4 linked regions of the Callithrix jacchus genome follow. The protein of the gene in region 2 purifies or fractionates together with the protein of the main gene of each other region. This does not show direct contact. Links are inferred from orthologs where the notes say so. Each region holds a gene or a part of one and is shown on either strand. Other genes may lie near its edges.

Region 1 (5,500 bases), on a different chromosome or scaffold from region 2:
CCGCCAAGTATGCAGAACGTGGAAGCAAAACTGAACTCCAAAGCAGCGTGCTCCGCAGATGCATGGCCTGGGCTCTCTCAGGCTGCTTTCCTCCAGCCCTGTGCTCCTGCCCTCAGAACATGCTGTGACAAACAGCAGCACTTTGATGGCTCAGATTTCTCAGGAGCATGGTCGGAGCCAAAGAATGGGAAGCAATTTGTTGTTTTCCCTAATATTCCTGCTACTGAAGGAGACAAAATGATCAGGTAGAAAGTTTGTGAGATTTGCCATGAGATGGGGCTGGGGAAACAGACAACAGGCATTGGAATTCCCAGGAGGTGTGGCGGCAGTGCAGGGCGCCAGCCCGAGAGGGCAGAGACCCAGCTTGGCCAGACCCCTGGAGCCGCCCGGAGGCTGGGGCGTTCTTCAGGCACCAAGAATCATCGGATGTGGATGTGGGTCGGGGGGCGGGGCACTGTGGCTTTTCCACCTTTATTTTATCTATTTTTAAAATTTTCTAAGATAGGCACATATTGATTTTACAATAGAAAAATCAAAATTACTTTTTAAAATAAAAATATAAATCTCCCTAGGTTGAAGACAAATGCTATATAACGTGCACTGATTTAAAAAAAAATTAGACATAATTTACTTAAACATACATATACACACATAAACACACAATATACATGTGCATTTATATACACATTATCTATATATAAAATGGGGCTCTGTGTCTGTCTCCTTTTCTCCCTCTGCAACCATATATATATATATATATATATATATATATATATATGAAAAGGGATATATATAACACACACACATGAAAAGGGATATATATATATACACACACACACACACAAAGGGATAGACATATGTATATATAAAGGGATCTATATAAAGGAATATATATGTGTGTGTATGCGTGCACACACGCGCGGGCGCGCACGCGCACACACACACTTTTTTTAAATCCTTTTTTCCTCTATCTCCTTTTTTTTGAGACAGAGTCTCACTCTGTCACCCAGGCTGGAGTGCAGTGGCACAGTCACTGCTCACTGAAGCCTTAACCTCCTGGGCTCAAGCGATCCTCCTACCTCAGCCTCCTGAATAGCTGGGACTACAGAAATGGGTTCTACTTTGGCTAACGTTTTTATTTTTAGCAGAGACGAGGTTTCGCTAGGTTGACCAACAGTGGCCTCGAATTCCTGAGCTTGGGCAATCCTCCTGCGCTGGTCTCTCAATCTACATCTCCTTCATGTCCAGTGGTTGATGTCTTTCATCATTAATATATTTGATTTTGTAATCACTGCAAATGATTTGAACTCAACTTGATCTTAAGTTTTTTTGAGTAATTTTTTCTAATACAACTCACACCTATTATTTCCCTCGCTGCATTAAAAGTACTTCAGAAATCATGCAGAAACTCGATGTGTCCTCCCAGACAGTCCAGATCTCTGATTAGTATTCAGAACATCCCACAGAGGATAAACAAGCTACATCAGCATTGGAGTGACACAGTTCTTGGCCCATGTCTGCCAGTGCATTGGGGATATCAAGTCGATGTATCACAGCATAGCATATTCTGTTTGTCATACCGTCTATCAATCTACATAATACATCCACGCTTTGACTTTTTCCCATGGAAATTCACTATGCTGTCACCAAATTACAGAGTGGCTTGCCTTCAGATTTTCTCCGGTCACCTTTAGCATTTCATTAGCCTCATGTGAGGGTCTGTTAGGCACGTATTGTAGCGATTAAGTGGCTTGGTTAAGGTCAAATCTTTAAGCCCAAAATATAGTACATAATGACTGAGGATTCCCTGATTTCTTACTTGAAGCTTTGATCTTTCACACAAATAACATTCACATGTAAAACTGCCATTTTAGGAGGATGGGGAAAAAAACCTGCCATTTTATTTCAAAATCTTTTCTGGCACTATTTCTTAATTTAAATTAGCAGCCTCTAACTGTTATTCTCATATAAAAATGCGCCTTGATAATTTCTAGTCATAATTTTTTTCATCCCTTTGAGAGTAATAAGAACAATATCTACACAGAAATTAAAATTCTGCACTGCAACTGGAACTCGATTCAGAATGAAAGCTTTGGAATTCTTACCGATATCTTTGGAGGTAATCTTTCGCCTTTGTTTCAAGACCGGCTGTGATGCTTCTACTGAGCCAGGAGGAAAGGTAATCTCCCTTCTGATGGGGGGTGGCTGAGGCGGCGGCCCGGTGACCTGGGATGCGGGGACCGTGGGCATCACCTTCTGCATCTTCATGGAGGGCAGAAAGGGAGACTTGCTTGGAGACATGCGGTTCTCCAGGGAGCGCTGGAAGGACGCTGGGCTGGGTGCCCTGGAGATGTGATTTGGCAGTGATGGTGGCGTCTGGTAGGACGGCTGTGGCGGGCGCGTGATGGGCTGCATGGAGGCTGAGGACGACATATAAGGCTGACGCTGGCTGACGTGAGAAGGCCACTGGCTCTCATGGTTTATCCTCTGATCAGGTACCATCATATCGTCCGTGCGGTTCATGCCTGGGTAAGGGGGCGCCTGTGCAGGGCCGCCAGGGCCCTGCCTGTTCTGGTAGGGATAAGGCATATCATTGCGTGCTGCCCACATATTCTGCTGAGGACCCTCGCTGGAGGATGACTGCAGTGGGCCGCCCATCATCTGAGGTGGGATTCCGTGTGTCTGGAGCTGCCCTGGGCCCTGCATCCGCTCCCTGCTGTAGGGATAGGGGTATTGGCCCTGGATGGGCCTGCGGTCCGGCCCTGAGTAGGAGCCGCCGTACTGGTTGTACATGTCCTGCTGCTGGCTGCTATACTGCATGTTGTACATGTCGCCCTCGTGGCGCTTGGCTGGGGGCCCGTACATGCCGTCCATATGGCGTTTGTAATTCTGGAATTCACAGAAACATAAATCACCCTGATGTGCTCGTACAGGTATAATCACACACTGAAACGATGCAAAATAGTTACTACCTGCTAGAATGTTCATTTTGAAATGAATATGGGAAGCTCCTATAACACCTGAGAAATTTATGTTAAATATCTCAGTATCATATACACTGTGTCACACACTCAGGAGACGGCATCCAAAATTTGTTTTCACGTGTTTGAAACTTTCTGTGGGGAAAAAAAAAAAGCCTCCTCTCCTTAGGCTGGGACACCAGGACAGCCAGCGTTGGACTCACGGACAAGCAGATGCCACACATGCTGGGAGCTGTGCTAGGATCACGGCAGGAGGCAGGGGGACCCTCCCACGGGACAGCTAGGACCTAGGGCCAGTCTGAAAGAGTTTCAGGATAAATGGGTTCTTGGGCCTCATTTTATGGAAACGCCTCCAAACAGGACTCAGCTCCCCAGACTGGCCTGTGTCACCAGACATCCATCCCATGGCTCCTGCCCTGACTTCTGGCTTGGCCAGGTGGGCTCCCCCAAAGCCTCGCTGGTCCTGGCACTGAGGACAGGGCTGGCACCACACCTGCTACTAGGCTTGCTTCCCAGGACGCTCTGGGATTAGTGCTTAATCGGGGTAGGTGGGAATCTGATGGAAGGCAGTGAGGTGCTAGTGTTTTTCACTTTACTTGAAAGCTGTTTAAGATCAGTTGGTTTAATAATGCAATTCACTGGCCAGGTGCAGTGGTTCACGTCTGTAATCCCAGCACTTTGGGAGACTGAGGCGGGCGGATCACCTGAGGTCAGGAGTTCTAGACCAACCTGGCTAACACGGTGAAAACCCATCTGTACTAAAAACACAAAAGTTAGTTGGGTGTGGTGGGCGGCCCTGTAGTCCCAGTTGCTTGGGAGGCTGAGGCAGGAGAATTGCTTGAACCCAGGAGGCGGAGGTTGCAGTGAGCCAAGATCCCACCACTGTATTCCAGACAGAGTGTGACTCTGTCTCAAAAAAAACAACAATTCACTGTGCCTATCTATATGCTCCAGCAAAATTAATGAAAAAAATATAATTAATTATAATACATGTAATAATGTATATACAGTTTTCAAAATTTTTATTTTTTGCAAGAGATCTCAGATATGAAAAGCTGTTTAGAAATGGCAAAGTCCTGTACGGCTGGAGAGTCGCACCACGAAGGGACACTCTCTGCAGCAGCGCTGGGCACTGGAGGGGGAGAGCCTAGCATCTCCGAGCTGCAGCCGTCACCTGTGAACCAGCAAAAACCTGTCCTACTTATTCAAAATAAGTACCATTAGTAGCTTATCTTATTTTTTAAAAAGCCAATTCACTTTCATTATTAGTATATAATAAGCTGCTTTTCTACATATTCTCTTTAAAACATTGACAAATTTGTGTTCTAAAATGGCTTCTGATGCAATAGTATACACAACAGATACGTGTCTGAAATATACCACCTCTAGCTTGGGCTGGTTGTTATTTACAAGGATGAATGTACTCAGCTTCCTATTACAGGTTATATTTGTTTCAGGAAACCATGTATCAAGAGTGATTTTTAATTTGCTGACTTCAACAGCCCAGGAGTATTTTCTAGCGTTAACTATGTCCTGAATGCTCCATAAACACTGATCGCTTTTGTTAGACTTCTGAAAAGACAAATTTGAGTTTGAGCCTCCAGGAGAGAACCAGAAAACACAGCGCCCCACGCCCACTCGCCAACTCACCGGCTGCTGCGGGTACAGGCCGGGCTGGTGCCCTCCATACGGCGGCTGTCCCGAGGGAGGGCCTTGGCCTGGATACTGCTGCCCATAAGGTTCATGCCTGGAACGAGGCATTCAAAGAAAACTTAACTGAGAAAGAGCTTCAGGCAAACGGAGAAAGGAACAATCCATTTCCAGGAACCCCGATTCCCCCAGCAGCTCTGCTTGACCTTCACTGTGCACCCCTCCGACGAAGGCCCTCTGAGACGCAGCCGCATGCCAACTGCTAGCACCAGGGATGGGAACACCCATTTTGGGAATGGTGCCAAACTTCTGGTTCGGGCTGTTGGCTAATAGGTGTCAGAGGAATACCGGTTGAACAGGCAGGCGCCCTGTAAGCACCTGTCAGAGCCTCTGGCCTCTGCGTGGAGGCCGCAGCCCCGCCTCTCCACTGATGTGTGCCTTAGGAAGTGTCGTACAATGCTGTGATGTGAGGCATCCATGGAAGCCAGAAACGACGAGAAGAACTTAAGACTCAAAGCAATGTTCCTAGAAGTACCAGAACACCGACATGTTTGTCCTTTGCACATTCTCATTATGAATGGAAAATGTTTAATTTTTAAAAGCTACACTTCAAACTTAATTCAAATGTTAGCTAACTAATCACTGTATAAATACAAGTGCTCAGAATTTCAAAGTCCTATGTCCCAAAGGGCTAGAAAAGAATAATAGGGATGATTTAAATGTACACCTATTACATCTTAAAATGGAAATGAACTCATACTTTTATCTTTCAACTACTAGCATATTAAGAAATTACAAATACCATCAAAAATAGCAAGTTTTAAAAGGCAATAGATTTGGAACTTTGAAAGATACACTGGTTTAGGTTA
Region 2 (5,500 bases):
CACCTGAGGTCAGGATTTCAAGATCAGCCTGACCAACACGGTGAAACCCCGTCTTTAAAAATATAAAAATTTAAAAATAAATAAAAAATAAAAAAGTAAATAAAATGTTAAACAAGTACCTGGAAATATAGAAATAACCACAAAATCCATTAGGGTGTTTTGTTGTTCTCTGGATGTTTTATTTATTGGAACAGTAAAAGTTATACGATAGTATTAAAAATGAATCCCTTTTTCCTAATTTTCAAATTCAAAATATGAATTTCTATGCCTCTTTAAAAAAAAAGAAATAGTCATCAATTGAGTTGAAAATGAAAAAAGAAAAAAAAAAACAACTAGAGAAATGTGAAAAAGAAAGTCTTTATCTCACCGGTGCCTCTGACATGAGAACAGGATGGAGGCTGGCTTCTGATTTGACATGCATTTTGTAGGTATGGTCCAAAATGGCCTGGAAACTATCCCAGTCTTCGACTAGAAGATAAGATTAGTAACTCAGAAACAATGCATAGTTGAAGATGAATACAGCATCTTTTGAGATACTGTTTCTATGACTTGACAATTAATACTTTAGTATACAGAACCTACTGATTTTACAGATCAACTTCCTAACACAGTACTTTATACAGAGAGTACCTTTGTCTTCTTTTTGGTCCTCCAGACCCCAGACCTGTCCCAAATGTAATTAATCTAACAGACCTAAAATGCCCAATAAATGTTATTCAATTCAGTAAGTACTTCTCAGAGGCCCAGAATGTGATCAGAATGATCACAGGAAGTACAGAAGAACTGTATGGCCTTCTGAATGAGACTACTGCTGGGGTAAAAAAAGAATTGTATGGTCTAGACCCGACACTCAAAAACTTACAATCTATTTGGAAAAAACTAAAAGACATGCTAAAAATTAGAGAAGAGCATATGTCTTCAATTTGGCTTCCTAAACATTCCACTAGAACTGACACTCACGACTTCTAATAGGCAAATTCATGGATACTCCACATTTTTAATCATCTGACTTCTCTAAATTACGACAGCATTGCCTACACAAGAGTTTACAAACTTTTCTGTCATGGCCCAAAGAAAAAATGTCACTAATTATATAATATACTTCCACAGGCCCACCTGGATTTTTTTTTTAACTTCTCTTTCTCAGTGTAAAGCTGTCAATGTCACAGCAGAAAACACTGAGAATCACTGAAACTTTTTCTTTCCTTGTTCTTCTCCTGATTTTTTTCCTACATCCCTAATTGTTTCCTTTCCTTCTCCTTCAAGGGTACCTTTTATTCTCTATTAGTCAAAATATACAAGTTTTCCCCAGGAACTCCATCTTCAATCCTCTTCTCATATTCCAATTTTTTTTCAGAGTAATAAAACGCAACTCCGTATCTTCAGATCTTTCTTATGACCTTTTATTCACCTGCTTACTGAATTAGCACCTGGATGTTCTGAGCACTTTGAACTCAGTGAACCCACTTACTTATTATACATGAAAGAGTTAACACTGCAAGCCTGAGAAAGGCCTGCTTGTAAGGCTGTCTCTTAGCTGGTGTCTGGAAACATGACTGGCATACAGTTCCCCATGTTGATATAAAACTTGTCCCTAAATGGTAAGAGTAGCTTGCTATACCAACACTGTTTGTACAAACAATGTTAGTTCTGAAGACTTGCTTTCCTTCTGAGAATCTAAAATTGTGTTACAGGCCAGGTAGATGGTACCTACATAACCAGCCCACTGTAAAATCCTTGCGTACTGAGTCTCAGAGTTCTCATGGAAGATAACACGTGTGTTGTGATTTATTGCTGGAGGGATTAAGCACATCCTGTATGACTCCTCTGTGAGGAGACTCTAAGAAGTTTGCATCTGGACTTCATCATCCCATCCCTTTTCCCTTTGTTGATGTTGTTTTGTATCTGAATCTTCGGTACAATAAATCTTAGCTGTGAGTACAACCACATGCTAAGTCCTGTGAGTGAGTCTTGCTTGTGAGTAACTGACCTGAGAGTGATTCTGGGTATGCCTAATAACCTTGCCTTTTTTTTTTTTTTTGAGACAGAGTCTCGCTCTGTCACAGGCTGGAATGCAGTCATGGGATCTTAGTTCACTGCAACCTCTGCATCCTGGGTTCAAATGATTCTTGGGTTCAAATGATTCTTGTGCTGCAGACTCTCGAGTAGCTGAGATTACAGGTATGCACCACCACACCGGGCAAATGTTTATATTTTTAGTAGAGATGGGGTTTTGCCATGTTGCCCAGGCTGGTCTTGAACTCCTAGACTCAAGCAATTCACCTGCTGTCTTGGCCTCCCAAAGTGCTGGGATTATACAAGTATAAGCTACCATGCCCAGCCAACCATGCCTTTTAAAACCATAACACTTCCTCCTTCCTTTTCTATTCCTATCTCAATGCATGGTGCTCTCTGCATAGAGTTGCCCCAACCAAAAATCTAGGAAACTTTGAGTCCTCTCTTGCTTTTACTCCATCGATCACTTTGTAACACTGTCTCCTGGTTACCCTGAAAGTCCCTTCAAAATCTCTACCAGTATGATCTAACAGTTTAAACCCTCTTGATTTCTGATCTGGACTCTTATCTTCCTATTGAACTTGCTGTCTCTACTGTCTCCCTTCACTAGAGCCTACATATTACCATTAATCTTTCCTGCTGGCAAATATGAGCATATCACATCTGTTTAAATTCCTTTGGGGTTATCCTTCAGCAACTAGCTTAATACAACTCTGGGATGGTTTACAAGCCCTTTTATGATGGCTCTCCACCTACCTCACCTGCTACTGACCCTAATGAGCCCAATGCTGCAGCCACACGCAATTGTATTACATCTCTAAGCACATAAGCTTCTTTCACAACTCCATCCCTTCACACATGCTGGGCCCTCTGCTTTACCCAGCTTTGTCAGCTAGGCTAATTCTTATTCATTGATCAAGATTCATCATGAGTTACCACCTTTGTGAAAACCATCAGTGACTCCCAACACTAATCAAATACTCTCCTCTCTAGTCCCATTGCTTATGCACATATCTATATTGTAGCATTTGTTCCACAGGGCACTATTATTTGTACGTAAACATCTATTTCCACTAACTATAAGCTTTTGAGGAAAAAGAACATTTCTTATTCATCTTTGTATTCTCACTGTCTGGAAATCAGTTTGTGGAATAAAAAACAAAACAAAAAACATGGCTGATGTTCAACTTATAAAACGCCACTGCTTTATATATATATCTAAAATATACCATGTACCCTCTATAATCAATTCCACTGGGAAAACATCATACCCATCCCATTTTTTAGAGGTGAAATGGCCTCCATATTCTCCCTCGGAACCCGCAGAGCATTGGTGTCTATGTAGTAGGTGGGACCTCCTTGTTTGCCTTTATCGCCATCTATTTCCATCAGTGTGCTTCCGTCGTCTCTTTCCACCACCATACCAATAGCTGTAGGAAAATCCACCTGTAAGAGTCAGAAACATGATATATGAGTTTCACCTTTTACCAAGAAGGCATTTTTTTCCCGCGACTAACGTCTTTATTGTATTTGTCTTGAATCAGAATTTCTGCATGAATTTAATTTACATGAATGGCTCTACATATCAAATTAATTCCAACATTACACTTACCTTGGGACAGTCCTCACCGGCATAACCAGCTCTCACAGTATAGGATCCGATGTCAAAAACAAGGGCTCCAACTTCATCTAAAAAGATTAGAAGTTAATTAGCATTAACAGCTTGCAAAGTATCACATGAAAATTAAAGTATTTAATGTACTTAAAATAAGAATGTATGTAAAAGCTCTGTAAAATTAATTACATTCTTTTTTTTTCTTTTGAGACAAGGTCTTGCTCTGTTACCCAGTCTGGAGTGCAGTGGCACAATCATAGCTCACTACAGCCTCAACCTCCCAGGCTCAAGCAATCCTCCTGCCTCAGCCTTCCAAATACTTGGGACTACAGTGCATGCCATCACGCCCAGCTAATACTTTAAATCTTTTTTTTTTGTAGAGACAAGGTCTCACTATGTTGCCCAGGACAGACTCAAACTTTGGGGCTCAAGCAGTCCCCTGCCTCAGCATCCCAAAGTGCTGCAGGCATGACCCACTGCACTCAGCCCAATTATATTCATATTATTACTCACTTGAACCTAGTTTCAAATAAATCTTAAAGAATCATTTAATTAAAATATAAAAATTGATACACCGTATTTCAGCAGCGGTTCAATCAGTTAAGAAATGGTACACTAAGGCCGGGCGCGGTGGCTCAAGCCTGTAATCCCAGCACTTTGGGAGGCCGAGGCGGGTGGATCACGAGATCAAGAGATCGAGACCATCCTGGTCAACATGGTGAAACCCCGTCTCTACTAAAAATACAAAAAATTAGCTGGAGATGGTGGCGCGTGCCTGTAATCCCAGCTACTCAGAAGGCTGAGGCAGGAGAATTGCCTGAACCCAGGAGGCGGAGGTTGCGGTGAGCCGAGATCGCGCCATTGCACTCCAGCCTGGGTAACAAGAGCGAAACTCCATCTCAAAAAAAAAAAAAAGAAAGAAATGGTACACTAAAACTGGGAAATCTGAGTTTACTTATTAAAAGGAGTATTTACAAAGATAGAGGTAAAATATAGGACAACCAGAAGGGACAGTACAGTACCCTAGTACTGTAGTGATAACTGATAATAATGAACCCACTGCCATTCTTCAAACTGAAGAAACAAGAAGAAATAATTGTTACCAGAATCTGGAGAGAAAGTTTTATAGGGAAGACTACTGACAGTAGCTTTGAATTTTAGTAGAAGGATGCAGTTAGCCATGAATTACCCTGAGGTGAATGAACAACCAGGCTAATATGCCAGCAACCTCCCTCCACCATCAACTAGGGTGATTCTATAATTTATTATTCTAAGTGGGACAACCACTACAGGCAACTCAGTCATATCTATTAAAGTTGAAATTGTGCATACATAGAATTATACACATTTATTCTGGAGACATACTCTCATATAGGTTGCAAGGAGACATGTACAAGAACCTGAGCAATTTACTAACCTCTCTGCCTCAGTTTCCTAATATATAAAATGTACATAACAGCTCTTATCTCATAAGATGCTCTAATGATTAAATGTGTTAAATACTTTCATGTATATGAAGTCTTAGAAAATAAACATGCTAAGTGTCAACTGCTATTATAATTATTCCTGACACACTGGTTGCCACAGGAAATGGCAGAAATAATCTAACGGTCTTTCAGTAGGGAAATAGATAAGCAATAATATATTCATACAATGGAATCCTATACAGCAGTTCAAATGAACACTCTAGATCTATATACATCAACATCAATAAATCTAAAAGAATGCTTAGTTTTAAAAGCTAGTTACCAAAAAACCCATATATATATATGTATACACACACACACACACACACACACACCCCACTCATACTACTTAATTAATTATGGGATGGCCAGGCATGATGGCTCGGGGATGGAATCCCAGCAC
Region 3 (5,500 bases), on a different chromosome or scaffold from region 2:
ACAGGAGGTGAAGGTTACAATAAGCCAAGATCATGCCACTACAACACTCCAGCCAGGAGACAGAGCAAGATTCCGTCTCAAAAAAAAAAGTTTCAGAGCAGCAGGTGGTAAAAAGAAAAATATGTTCAGCACGATACAGATACTAAGTAAAAAAAAAAATTGGTATGCAGTAAGATCTAAAAAAAAAAAGTAATAATAGCCGGGCGTGGTGGCTCACATCTGTTAATCCTAGCACTTTGGGAGGCCAAGGCAGGAGGATCATGAAGTCAGGAGATTGAAACCCTCCTGGCCAGCATGGTGAAACCCCATCTCTACTAAAAATACAAAAATTAGCTGTGTGTGGTGGTGCTTGCCTGTAATCCCAGCTACTCAGGAGGCTGAGGCACAAGAATCGCTTGAACCCAGGAGGCAGAGGCTGCAGTGACCTGAGAATGTGCCACTGCACTCCATCCTGGCAACAGAGTAAGACTGTATTAAAAAAAAAAAAAAGTAATAAAATAAAATTTAAAAATACATTCTAACAGACTTAGAAAAAAATAGAGAAATAAATGCATGCACAATCCTCCCTCCCAGATGGGATAAGCACTCAAAACACCTGGGATACATATCCTTCTAATCTTGCTGTCCACATTTGCACAAAGACAGAGTTCTTCAGGCTTTGGAAGCTCAGGAAGAGCCAGAAGAGATGGCATTTGACCCAGGACTTAGAGTAAGGATGTCCAAAAAGATGACCAGTTTGGGGAGGAGAGGCACAGGAGCACACATGCAACCTCACACAGCAGAAGCAGGGTGGCAGATAGGACCCAAGGTGGGTGTGTGCAGGGCTTGGGGGCTGAACTGGGTATGAGTGGCACTGTCATCATCATCCATGCTATGCGGACCAAACCCCTCCCATGCCAGGCCCCCTGGGCTACCCAACCTCAACATGGGGAAAGGAGTCCAAGGCTCACATGCCCAATCCACAGTGAACAGCAGCAGAACCAGGACTGAACCCAGACCCCCAGACTCCAGAACTATGCCCTGATGTCCTACATGTCAGGTCCGGCATCTGCCTGACAGGCAGCTGGCAGGAAAGGGGACTGTTCCTATGTAACACACAGGGGCTGCGGCCAGCCCCAGCAGAGCCCGACTGCCTTGTACCATTCATGTTCCAGGTGAAGGCGTCTCGCAGCTTCTGCCCATCAATCTCCATATCCAGCCGGATGGGGACCAGCACCTCAGGCTGAGATGCGTTCTCATGGATCACAGCAGGGTCATGGTCATCAAAGCTGAAAGCAAAATGGCAGCAACAGTCAGTGAGGGTGTCGGGCTCCAGGGATGTGAGTTTTCAGCCTCCCTCTCTGCACAGCAGACCTCTGCAAACCCATCTGGAGAACAAGGCCACTTGTCAGCTAACAGCTGAGGTAGCAGACAAGCCCAACGGGAGTCCTGAGGCCACGGTCTAATGGGGACAGGTGGGACCATAAATGACAAGCACCAGTCTGTCTGCAATAGGATCGACTTGGGCAGTGTTGGAACAAAACCCAGACGTCCTGCGAAGGTATACTGAAGCCTGAAATTCAGTACGACTTTCATAGAAGGCTGTGGGAAAGGAGAAGAACATTTCCAGAGGAAATATTAAAGCAAGGCCAAGGCAGGTGAATGGAGGAACTGCTGAGGATGCACCAACAGACCACAGAGCGCAGATTCCCTGGGGAGCAGTGGTCGGGGATGCTGCAAAGCTAGCGGATGTTGAAGCACCCACAGTTCTCCTCTCAGGCTATGCAAACTGGTGACTGCCGTGAGGGAGTCCCAGGAGGATTCCAAGCAAGGGAGTTGGGTATTTTGGGACGATAAAGAGGGAAGAGTCCAGCAGGCAGGTTGGTAAGATGGAGCTGGAGGACAGAAGAAACCTAAGGGCGTCTGGAAGCATGGAGAAGGCCGAGAAGTGCCCCCAGGGATCTTGGGAAGCAGATGGAAGACACAGAGAGAAATGAGCTGAGGGCCAGGCATGAATGCACTGGGAAACAGACCGGGAAAGGGAGAAGGGTGCTGGAGAAAAGGGGTGGCCACTCTATTGGAGAAGGGGACAGTCAACTAGGGATGGGAAGAAGAGATGGAGGGAAGGAAGAGAGAAGGAAAAGAAGGAGAAAGGAGGATGGGAGGGGAGGAAGGAGGATGGGAGGGAAGGAAGGATGAATGATGGAAGGAAGGAAAGAGGAAAGGAAAGGGGAGGAGGGAGAACGGAGCTGAGCATCAGCAGAGGGAACTGCAGGGCAGGAGATCTAGGCGTTCTGACAGCAGTGAGGGTGTTCTAAGGTCTGAGGCAGGGTGAGAGTGGGGCAGAGTGCGGTGGTGGCAGCACCAGGCCGTGAGAAACTGAGAGCAGAGAAAGGGCCCAAGGACTGTGCCCCTAGAACTCCATTTGAGGGGCCAGGGAGGTGAGGAGGACACGGTAAGGTGACAGCAGGCAGAGCCAGGGAGACTGCAGATGGAAGTAAGGGAAACAGCAGTTCAAAGAGGAGGAGGTACTGCAGCATTATGGGGAGCACAAGGTCAAAGCACAGTGTTTTTCTGGGGAGGAGGGAACTGAAATCTGCTGGAAAACTAAGGTGGAATCAGTATGGAGAGTGAGCCAGCAACATATCCGCACCAAAGGGGGAAGGTTCTCTTCTTGTCCCGGCCCATGCGGTTCCTGTTGATGGTCGTGGAGCATGGCACGGCGTCCAGATGGTGGGAGCTATTGGGCAGGGTGGGCACCCACTGGCTGTTCCTCTTGGCCTTCTGTTCCCTGGGGAGATACAAGAAAAGTCCCCCTATCAGTCTAGGAGCCTGATCCTGCCTACAAGCATCAACTCACGCTCAGAGGATGCCCACTGTACCTCCGTCAGGCTCAAGGCTCCTGTGGGAGTTGTCTGTGCACCTGATTTTGCAGGGGCCTGCTCCCCAAGCTGTCATCAGATGATAGAGGTACATGGGCAAGGGTGAAGGTATGGAGGGGCACCAGACACAGCCCAACATGCAAGTCGGCTGCTACCCCACGACTGTGGTGTGCTGCACTATGAACCGGGCATGGCTCCATGGAAGCACTTCCTGGATGCAGGGAAGTGGCACAAGGAGGAGGCATCCCAGAGGGGTGGACAACAGAGCAGAGCCTTAGACACTGAGTCAGGGTTCCCTTGGGGGAGGGGCATGGGCAGCAGCAGGGAGAGACCGAGGGGCAGTACAGGGAGGAGGATCCCAGGGAGGGGGCCGATCACAGGTCTCACCTGCTCCATAAGATGACTTTACTCAGCAGGTGGCTGGGAATCCTCAGGGTTTTGAAGGAGGAGACGTGATCAGCCTGTGATTTTAGACATGCTGGCCAACCCAAAATACACTAGGCAAGGCCTCTGGCCTCTAAGCTTCCAGAGAAGTGAGAAGATGGGTTGATAAATACCTTCCAGAGGTGACATCCAAAGTAATTTAAATAATACATGTCCCATTAAGAGTTTGATCTTTTCTCCCAAATTCCAGGTTGCTTTTACTACTAAGTATCAAAAGCACCAGGCGCAGTGGCTCACACCAGTAACTCCAGCACTTTGGGAGGTCAAGGTGGGAGGATCACCTGAGATCAAGAGTTTAAAATGGGGCCACGCACGGTGGCTCACACTTGAAATCCCAGCTTTGGGAGCCTGAGGTCAGAAGATCAAAACCTGAGGTCAGAAGATCAAGACCAGCCTAGCCAACATGGTGAAACACCTGTCTCTACTAAAAATACAAAAATTAGCCAGGTGTGGTGGTAGGCACCTGTAATCTCAGCTACTCAGGAGGCTGAGGCAGGAGAATTGCTTGAACCAGGGAGGGGGAAGTTGCAGTGAGCCAAGATGACATCATTGCACTTCAGTGACAAGAGCTGGGTGACAAGAGCGAAACTCCATCTCAAAAAAAAACAAAACAAAACAAAAAAACACAGTTCAATAGCAGCCTGGCCAACATGGTGAAACCTCAACTCTACCAAAAATACAAAAATTAGCCAGGCATGGTGGCACATGTCTGTAATCCAGCTACTCAGGAGGCATGAGAATCACTTGAACCCAGGAGGCAGAGGGTACAGTGAGCCGAGATCATGACACTGCACTCTAACCTGGGAGAGAGAGCAACACCCTATCTTGGGGGCGGGGGGGGGGGGGGGAAGCTATTTTAAACTAAGGCTCCAGGGATGGCTGAGACAAATGAGAGCATTTGGTACCCGCTGTGCTCTGTGAGTTCCTGTTTTCCCTGGCAAGGCTGTGAGCAGGAGCAGGCAGCAACTGTGTATCACTTCCCTGTGTGGCCCCAACACCTGCGCAACCGCTTCTGCGACAACTACTCAACAGTTCAGAGCAAGCGATGACAAACGTTTGACGATGTCCTCTAAAGAGGAACCCCAGAAGACAGCATAAAGGTCCTTCCCCTTTCCAGGGGGTGGGGGAGGGCAGAAGCAATGGCCAAGACCTGCCTGGACTCTGGGCCCTCTGACTCTTTTCCCTTCTAAAGTGGGGGTCACTTACACATCTGATGCTAAGGCCGGGACTAATCATTGATTGCTGGTAGGGAGAGGGAGAGTTTTGTAGTACTCAATTTGGGGAACATGGAATCAGTTTGGGCAGGGACTAAGAGAGGGGACAGCAAGAAAAGGGTCCCCACTATAGCCTATCTGGGTCATGGTTCCTAATCCTGGCCACTCAGATTCAAAGAGCGCAATTTTTTTTTAAAGTTTAATTTTATAGAGATGGGGTCTCACTATGTTGCTCAGGCTGGTCTCAAACTCCTGGTCTCAAGCAATCCTCCCACCTTGGCCTCCCAAAGTGCTGAGAGTACAGGTGTGTGTCACCAAACCTGACCCCAGAATGCAAAAATTTAAGTAGCACATTCCTGAGCCCTACCCAGGTGGAGTGACTTCCCACCTCTGAGGAGGGGCCCAAGAAGACGGGTTCTTTGCTGTAATCCCAGCACTTTGGGAGGCCGAGCTGGGTGGATCACCTGAGGTCAGGAGTTCGAGACCAGCCTGGCCAACGTAGTAAAACCCATCTCTACTAAAACTACAAAAAATGAGCTAGCTGTGGTGGCAGGCATCTGTAATTCCAGCTACTTGGGAGGCTGATGCAGGGAAATGGCTTGAAACTGGGAGGCAGAGGTTGCAGTGAGCTGAGATCCCGCCACTGAACTCCAGCCTGGGTGACAGAGCAAAACTCCAACTAAAAAATTAAATAAATAAACTTTCCTTCCATTGCAATCCCAGGATCCCTGAGAGAGGGCGCCGAGCCTCTGCTCGAATTGCCCAGTGACAGGATGGGGAGGGTGCCAGTCCCCTTACCAGGCTGACTGAGTAGTGTGGAGCCAGCCAAAGCCACTTTCCTCAAACCTCTGCCAGGCCTCACCCGTGGAGACCTGACCTCCAGGGTAACAGGATTCCACTCCTGCAGCTGCTCCTCACATGACATGATCACCATGAAACTGTTTTATCGCCCCATAAAAGATTCCCAGCTGACGTGTGCAG
Region 4 (5,500 bases), on a different chromosome or scaffold from region 2:
ATGCAGAGATGGCAGTGACGGGCGGCCCTGACTGTTAATAGACTCCGCATTTGAGAATCTGTTCACTTGCTAAGATTTATTTCTAATCCCCAAATAAATATCTGCCCTGCTTTTGGGCAACAAATTCAAGTCACCTGACACCAACTTTCCCAGCTAAGTGTGAATGAGACCAGGCTGTCTGCTCCCTTTAGCTCTCATGTCATAAGTGTCCTTGTTGTATTCTGTTGAGTGCTACGTTTGTCGCTTTTGTTTTTTGAGACAGGGTCGTGCTCTGTCACCCAGGCTGGAGGGCAGTGGCACGATCATGGCTTATTGCAGCCTCAATGCCCACCACACCCAGAAACACACACACACACATCAGCCCCCTGCCCCCAGCCTCAGCCCTCTGTCCTCAGCCTCCTCAGTAGCCGGGACCATGGGTGTGCACCACTCCGCCTGGCTAATCTTTGTTTTTGTTTTTGTTTTGAGTTAGAGTCTCGCTCTGTTGCCCAGGCTGGAGTGCAATGGCGCTATCTCGGCTCACTGCAACCTCTGCCTTTTGGGTTCAAGCAATTCCCCTGCCTCAGCCTGCTGAGTAGCTGGGATTACAGGCACCCACCACCATGCCTGGCTAATTTTTCTGTTTTTAGTAGAGATGGGGTCTCACCATATTGTCCAAGCTGGTGTTGTACTCCTGACCTCATGTGATCCACCCACCTCAGTCTCCCAAAGTACTGGGATTACAGGCGTGAGTCACTGCGCCTGGCCTATTATTTGGTTGTTGTTTTTGTATGTTTTGTAGAGGTGGGGTTTCGCCATGTTGCCCAGGCTAGTCTCAGACTCCTGGGCTCAAGTGATCCGCTTGCCTCAGCCTCCCAAAGTGCCGTCAGTTTTTTGTGCCTTTTTTTTTTTTTTTTTAACTTTTTTAGGGCCATTTGTTGGTGATTTTGCTGTGAAATGTTCCCTGAACACCGCGCGGAACTGCTGTGTAGCCTGACAGAGGCAATAGCGGGCACTTTGCTGAGCCCATGTTAGAATGCTGTTGGCGTGAGCTCCATGTTAGAGAATTAACAGTGATATTACATAATAGACACACAGAAATGAGGCCGGGCACGGTGGCTCACGCCTGTAATCCCAGCACTTTGGGAGGCTGAGGCTGTTGGATCACGAGGTCAAGAGATCGAGACCATCCTGGCCAACATGGTGAAACACTGTCTTTACTAAAAATACAAAAAATTAGCTGGGCGTGGTGGCACACAGCTACTCAGGAGGCTGAGGCAGGAGGATTGGTTGAACCCGGGAGGCGGAGGTTGCAGTGAGCCAAGATTGCCCCATTGCACTCCTGCCTGGCGATAGAGCGAGACTCTGTCTCAAAAAACAAACAAATGAAAAAACTGTGTGGAAACACACATAAATGAAAACACACATCGACTAAGATTACATGTATATTGGTTGATGAAAATATTGTGACTAGGGGCTTGAGAACTTAACCCTGTATATTCCACTGGGAGCAATGGCTCAGGATTGGCCAGTCGGTGTGTTTACGGTGACTTCCTGGAACTTCACTACTATGAATAAGGAGACTTAGCTGTATCCCCTGGCACCAGCCCTGGGCTGGCCTCACTGCAGCAGGGAACAAGACACGTGAGGTCCCCTCCTTTGTGGAACTTTATGTCCAGCACGGGAGTTGGGGGCTTGATCCAGTAATCCTGGAGGCAGAGATCTAGCTTAAAGCAGCCTGGCTCTGCAGAAGAGTGCTGTTGGGGGTGGGGGGGGGTGACACCATTGTGGAAGGCTTCACCATCAGAGGGTGACGTCATCAGGTGACATGAGGCACGAGCTAAAGGTTAAGTGGTGTTTGGCCCAGCGAGTGAGTGGTGGTGTGAGGTGGGAGTGTTGCCAGCAGAGGGAATGAAGAGGGAACATCACCCTGACAGTCCCTCTCTACCTCTTCCGCAGGATCCGGGGCACCAGCTACCAGAGCCCCCATGGCATCCCCATCGATCTGCTGGACCGGCTGCTCATCGTCTCCACCACCCCCTACAGCGAGAAAGACACAAAGCAGATCCTCCGCATCCGGTGCGGGCAGGACCAGGCCGTGTGCCTGAGAGACAGGGCTGGGGGCCACCCTGTGGGACAAATGCTGACACTGAGGTCTGGGGGGTGGCATGGTTGCTGGGCCTGCAAGAGAGAGGGCCGAATGGGCACCCAAACAGTGACATCCAGTCTGGGGGGCAGGTGCCACTGTGGGGAAGGGAGGTGAGACGCTGTGACTGGTGTGGGGGTCAGTGCCCTGGGTGGGGTCAGGAGCCCTAGGTTTTAGTTCCAGCCCAGCCCCTGTCTCCATAGTTCTTCCAGCCTTAGCATTCTGTGATTCTAAGATGCAGGCACCACACATCCCAGGGGTGGCTGCGGCCACTCCTGCTGGTCAGAGGCCAGGCCCTGGCTAAGCCATCCCGCCCCTACTGCCTGCAGGTGTGAGGAGGAAGATGTGGAGATGAGTGAGGACGCCTACACGGTGCTGACCCGCATCGGGCTGGAGACGTCACTGCGCTATGCCATCCAGCTCATCACGGCTGCCAGCCTGGTGTGCCGGAAACGCAAGGTCAGCCAAATTCGCCAGCAGGGCCAGATGGCCGGCAGGAGCAAGGATGCGCTATTTCAAGGGCTTCCGGGGGTTCCGTGTTTCATCCTAGAATGTACATTTTCAGGGGCAGGGAATTTTCATTCCTCAGGTTGATTTCTGTGTCGCCTGGCCTAGCCTATAGTAGGTACTCGGGAAGGCCGGGCGCGGTGGCTCACGCCTGTAATCCCAGCACTTTGGGAGACCGAGGCGGACGCATCACCTGAGGTCAGAAATTCGAGACTAGCCTGGCCAACATGGAGAAACCCCATCTCTACTGAGAATACAAAACATTAGCCTGGAGGCCGTGTAGATGGTGGCGCATGCCTGTGATGCCAGCTACTCGGGAGGCTGAGGCAGGAGAATCACTTGAACCCAGGAGGTGGAGGGTGCGGTGAGATCGTGCCACTGCACTCCAGCCTGGGCAACAAGAGCAAAACTTCATGTCAAAAAAAAAAGTAGGTGCTCACTATATCTCTGTTGACTGTAAGTAGATGCTGTTAGGTCCATCTTACAAATAAAGAAACAGAGGAGGCCGGGCGTGGTGGCTCATGCCTATAATCCCAGCACTTGGGGAGGCCAAGGCGGGCAAATCTTAAGGTGTAGAGTTCCAGACCAGCCTGGCTAATGCGATGATACCCTGTCTCTACTAAAAATGCAAAAAATTAGCCAGGTCTGGTGGCATGCACCCGTAGACCCAGCTACTCAGGAGGCTGAGGCAGGAGAATTGCTTAAATCTGGGAGGCGGAGGTTGCAGTGAGCCAAGATGGTGCTACTGCACTCCAGCCTGGGCATGATTGGAGACTCTGTCCCAAAAAAGAAAAAAGCTGAGGAATGAAGAGGCTGGGCCCACACCCAGTGGATAGCCAGGCAGGATTTGAACACAGGCAATCTGGCCCAGAATGCCTTCCCCTCACCTGCTACCCGCTGCTGCCTGGAGCTGGAGGTGGCATAGGCTGGGGTCTGTGCTGTGGGCCTTACGAGGAGGGTCCCCACTGAGGACTTGCCCTCCCCCTCCAGGGCACAGAGGTACAGGTGGATGACATCAAGCGGGTCTACTCACTCTTCCTGGACGAGTCCCGCTCCACGCAGTACATGAAGGAGTACCAGGACGCCTTCCTCTTCAATGAGCTCAGTAAGCGTCCCCACCCCGTACCTGCACTGCCAGTGCCACCCCCAGAGGGAGGAAGAGGGAGCTCGGCCTAAAAGGCTCAGGCCCTGCCCTCTGGGCCACACTGACCATCTGGCCTTCCTTCTCCCCATAGAAGGCGAGACCATGGATACCTCCTGAACTGGATGTCACCCCCGTCCCCACCCTGTTTTCTACCAGAGTTCTGACACTGTGACTTTATATAAAGTTGTTTTGAAGCTGGTCCCACCCTGTGTGTGTGTGGTTGCCCTGATTCCAGAGAAAGACACCCCCAGAGTGCGGATTGAGAAGCCTTTATTGTGGGACTAGTGGAGGGTCTGCTGGCTCCAGGAGTTGGGATGGACTTGTAAGGTTGCGGGGAGGGTCCTTAGAGGAAGAGTCCTGGAAGGTGGAGTAGTCACAGCCCAAGGGCTCGTTCCTGAGACTCCCGCAGTCAGAATAGCTTCGGCGGCAGAGTCCACAGCGACAGCTGAGAGCCACGGGCATGGAAACTACGGGATCCACGCCGGGCCGACAGCCAGGGAGCCGGACAGAGGTGAAGCGCAGCTCGTGGTAGTTGCACACCGACTGGGGTAAGGGCGGTAAGATGGTCTGCAGCACCCGTACCTAAGGCCATGTGGGTGGGCGAGTGGGCATGTGTCTAGGGGCCAGCACCTCAGCTGAGCACCCCAGCTCCCTCCACAGGTCCCAGACTCAGATGTCCAGGAAGCCCTCTGTTCATGCCCTCCAGCCCCATTTCCCAACCCCTGCCCAGAGAGCCAGACCACCCTTCCCCATGCCTCTGTGGGCCCCGCCCTGTGGTGGCAGCACCTGCCCCTGGTCCTGGGCAGCTCACCATGCTGGAGCAGTAGCCGGCACAGATGGTGGTGTTAAAGGCGACACACACAGGGCAGCCCTCCTTCTCAGCAGCCAGGATGGCATTGACGGGGCGACACAGTGGCCGAAGTGGCTCCTTGGATGCCCATGCCCCACCCGTGCTCAGCAGCAGACACAGCAGCAGCCCCTGGGACAAGACAGGTGCTTCAGCCGGGCCTGAGACTGAAGCCCTGAGCCCTGGCCCATCCCCAGGGGTACACCACCCTCAAGGACCCAGGAACCCTGCCTGGCATGTCTTATTCAGGACCTGCCACCCAGACACTTGCCTTTCAGAGCCCACCCCACAGCCCAGAGGACCTGAGATGTCCCAACATTTCAGTTCCCCACCCTCAGGGACTTCTCCACCTGAAGCTTACTTCAGGGTCACACCCCTCCAGAAAAAGGCCTCCTTCCCCAGCTCACACGACTCTGCCCCTCTGCCCCTCTTCATGCTGGTGATGGCCTGGAGGGAAGTGGAAGGTACCCAGGGTCCTTGCAGTCTTACCTGGAGCATCTCCATCCTTGGTGCCTCCCCTGCCTCGTGTACCTGGCTTTATACCTCGGGGTTGTGGGGGCGACAAGGCCACCAGGTGGTGGTAGCATCCTGGGGTAACCTGGACACTAATCCCCCCGGGGGCGGGAGGCGGACAAGGCCAGGGAGACGCAGCAGTGGCTCAGTGGAGCGCTCCAGCCCTCTCCCCGCAGTGGCTCCAGCGCCAGGGGTGAGGCGGAGACCACGGTGAAGTGACCTCAGACTTGGTTGAGTCGGCGTTGGAGGCACAGGAAGTAGGGTACAGAAAGGCCTCTCCCCGTCTCTTCCTGGGGCGGGGGAGCCAGCAGGAGGCCGTGACCCAAGAAATGTGCTAGACTGAAGCGTCAACCCACCTCCACCA

The links.
Region 1: the proteins of ACTL6A (region 2) and ARID1B purify together in Homo sapiens (affinity purification with mass spectrometry; 5 studies listed by BioGRID and IntAct, with this or other methods). This does not show direct contact. The link is inferred for Callithrix jacchus from reciprocal best matches to the Homo sapiens genes ACTL6A and ARID1B.
Region 3: the proteins of ACTL6A (region 2) and SMARCB1 purify together in Homo sapiens (affinity purification with mass spectrometry; 11 studies listed by BioGRID and IntAct, with this or other methods). This does not show direct contact. The link is inferred for Callithrix jacchus from reciprocal best matches to the Homo sapiens genes ACTL6A and SMARCB1.
Region 4: the proteins of ACTL6A (region 2) and RUVBL2 purify together in Homo sapiens (affinity purification with mass spectrometry; 11 studies listed by BioGRID and IntAct, with this or other methods). This does not show direct contact. The link is inferred for Callithrix jacchus from reciprocal best matches to the Homo sapiens genes ACTL6A and RUVBL2.

The regions. Positions count from the first base shown.
Region 1 is NC_133505.1:164,031,996-164,037,495, reverse strand, and holds part of ARID1B (AT-rich interactive domain-containing protein 1B), read right to left. Parts: intron 4,729-5,500; coding exon 4,632-4,728; intron 2,890-4,631; coding exon 2,106-2,889; intron 1-2,105. UniProt on the Homo sapiens protein: Involved in transcriptional activation and repression of select genes by chromatin remodeling (alteration of DNA-nucleosome topology).
Region 2 is NC_133516.1:7,797,976-7,803,475, reverse strand, and holds part of ACTL6A (actin-like protein 6A), read right to left. Parts: intron 3,706-5,500; coding exon 3,629-3,705; intron 3,463-3,628; coding exon 3,288-3,462; intron 469-3,287; coding exon 368-468; intron 1-367.
Region 3 is NC_133502.1:192,686,774-192,692,273, forward strand, and holds part of SMARCB1 (SWI/SNF-related matrix-associated actin-dependent regulator of chromatin subfamily B member 1), read right to left. Parts: intron 2,771-5,500; coding exon 2,633-2,770; intron 1,269-2,632; coding exon 1,141-1,268; intron 1-1,140.
Region 4 is NC_133523.1:42,868,192-42,873,691, forward strand, and holds the end of RUVBL2 (ruvB-like 2), read left to right. Parts: intron 1-1,938; coding exon 1,939-2,058; intron 2,059-2,454; coding exon 2,455-2,584; intron 2,585-3,622; coding exon 3,623-3,737; intron 3,738-3,867; coding exon 3,868-3,893; 3' UTR 3,894-3,975; downstream 3,976-5,500. Other genes in the region: choriogonadotropin subunit beta precursor, read right to left, coding at 4,047-4,358, 4,588-4,755, 5,113-5,127. UniProt on the Homo sapiens protein: Possesses single-stranded DNA-stimulated ATPase and ATP-dependent DNA helicase (5' to 3') activity; hexamerization is thought to be critical for ATP hydrolysis and adjacent subunits in the ring-like structure contribute to the ATPase activity.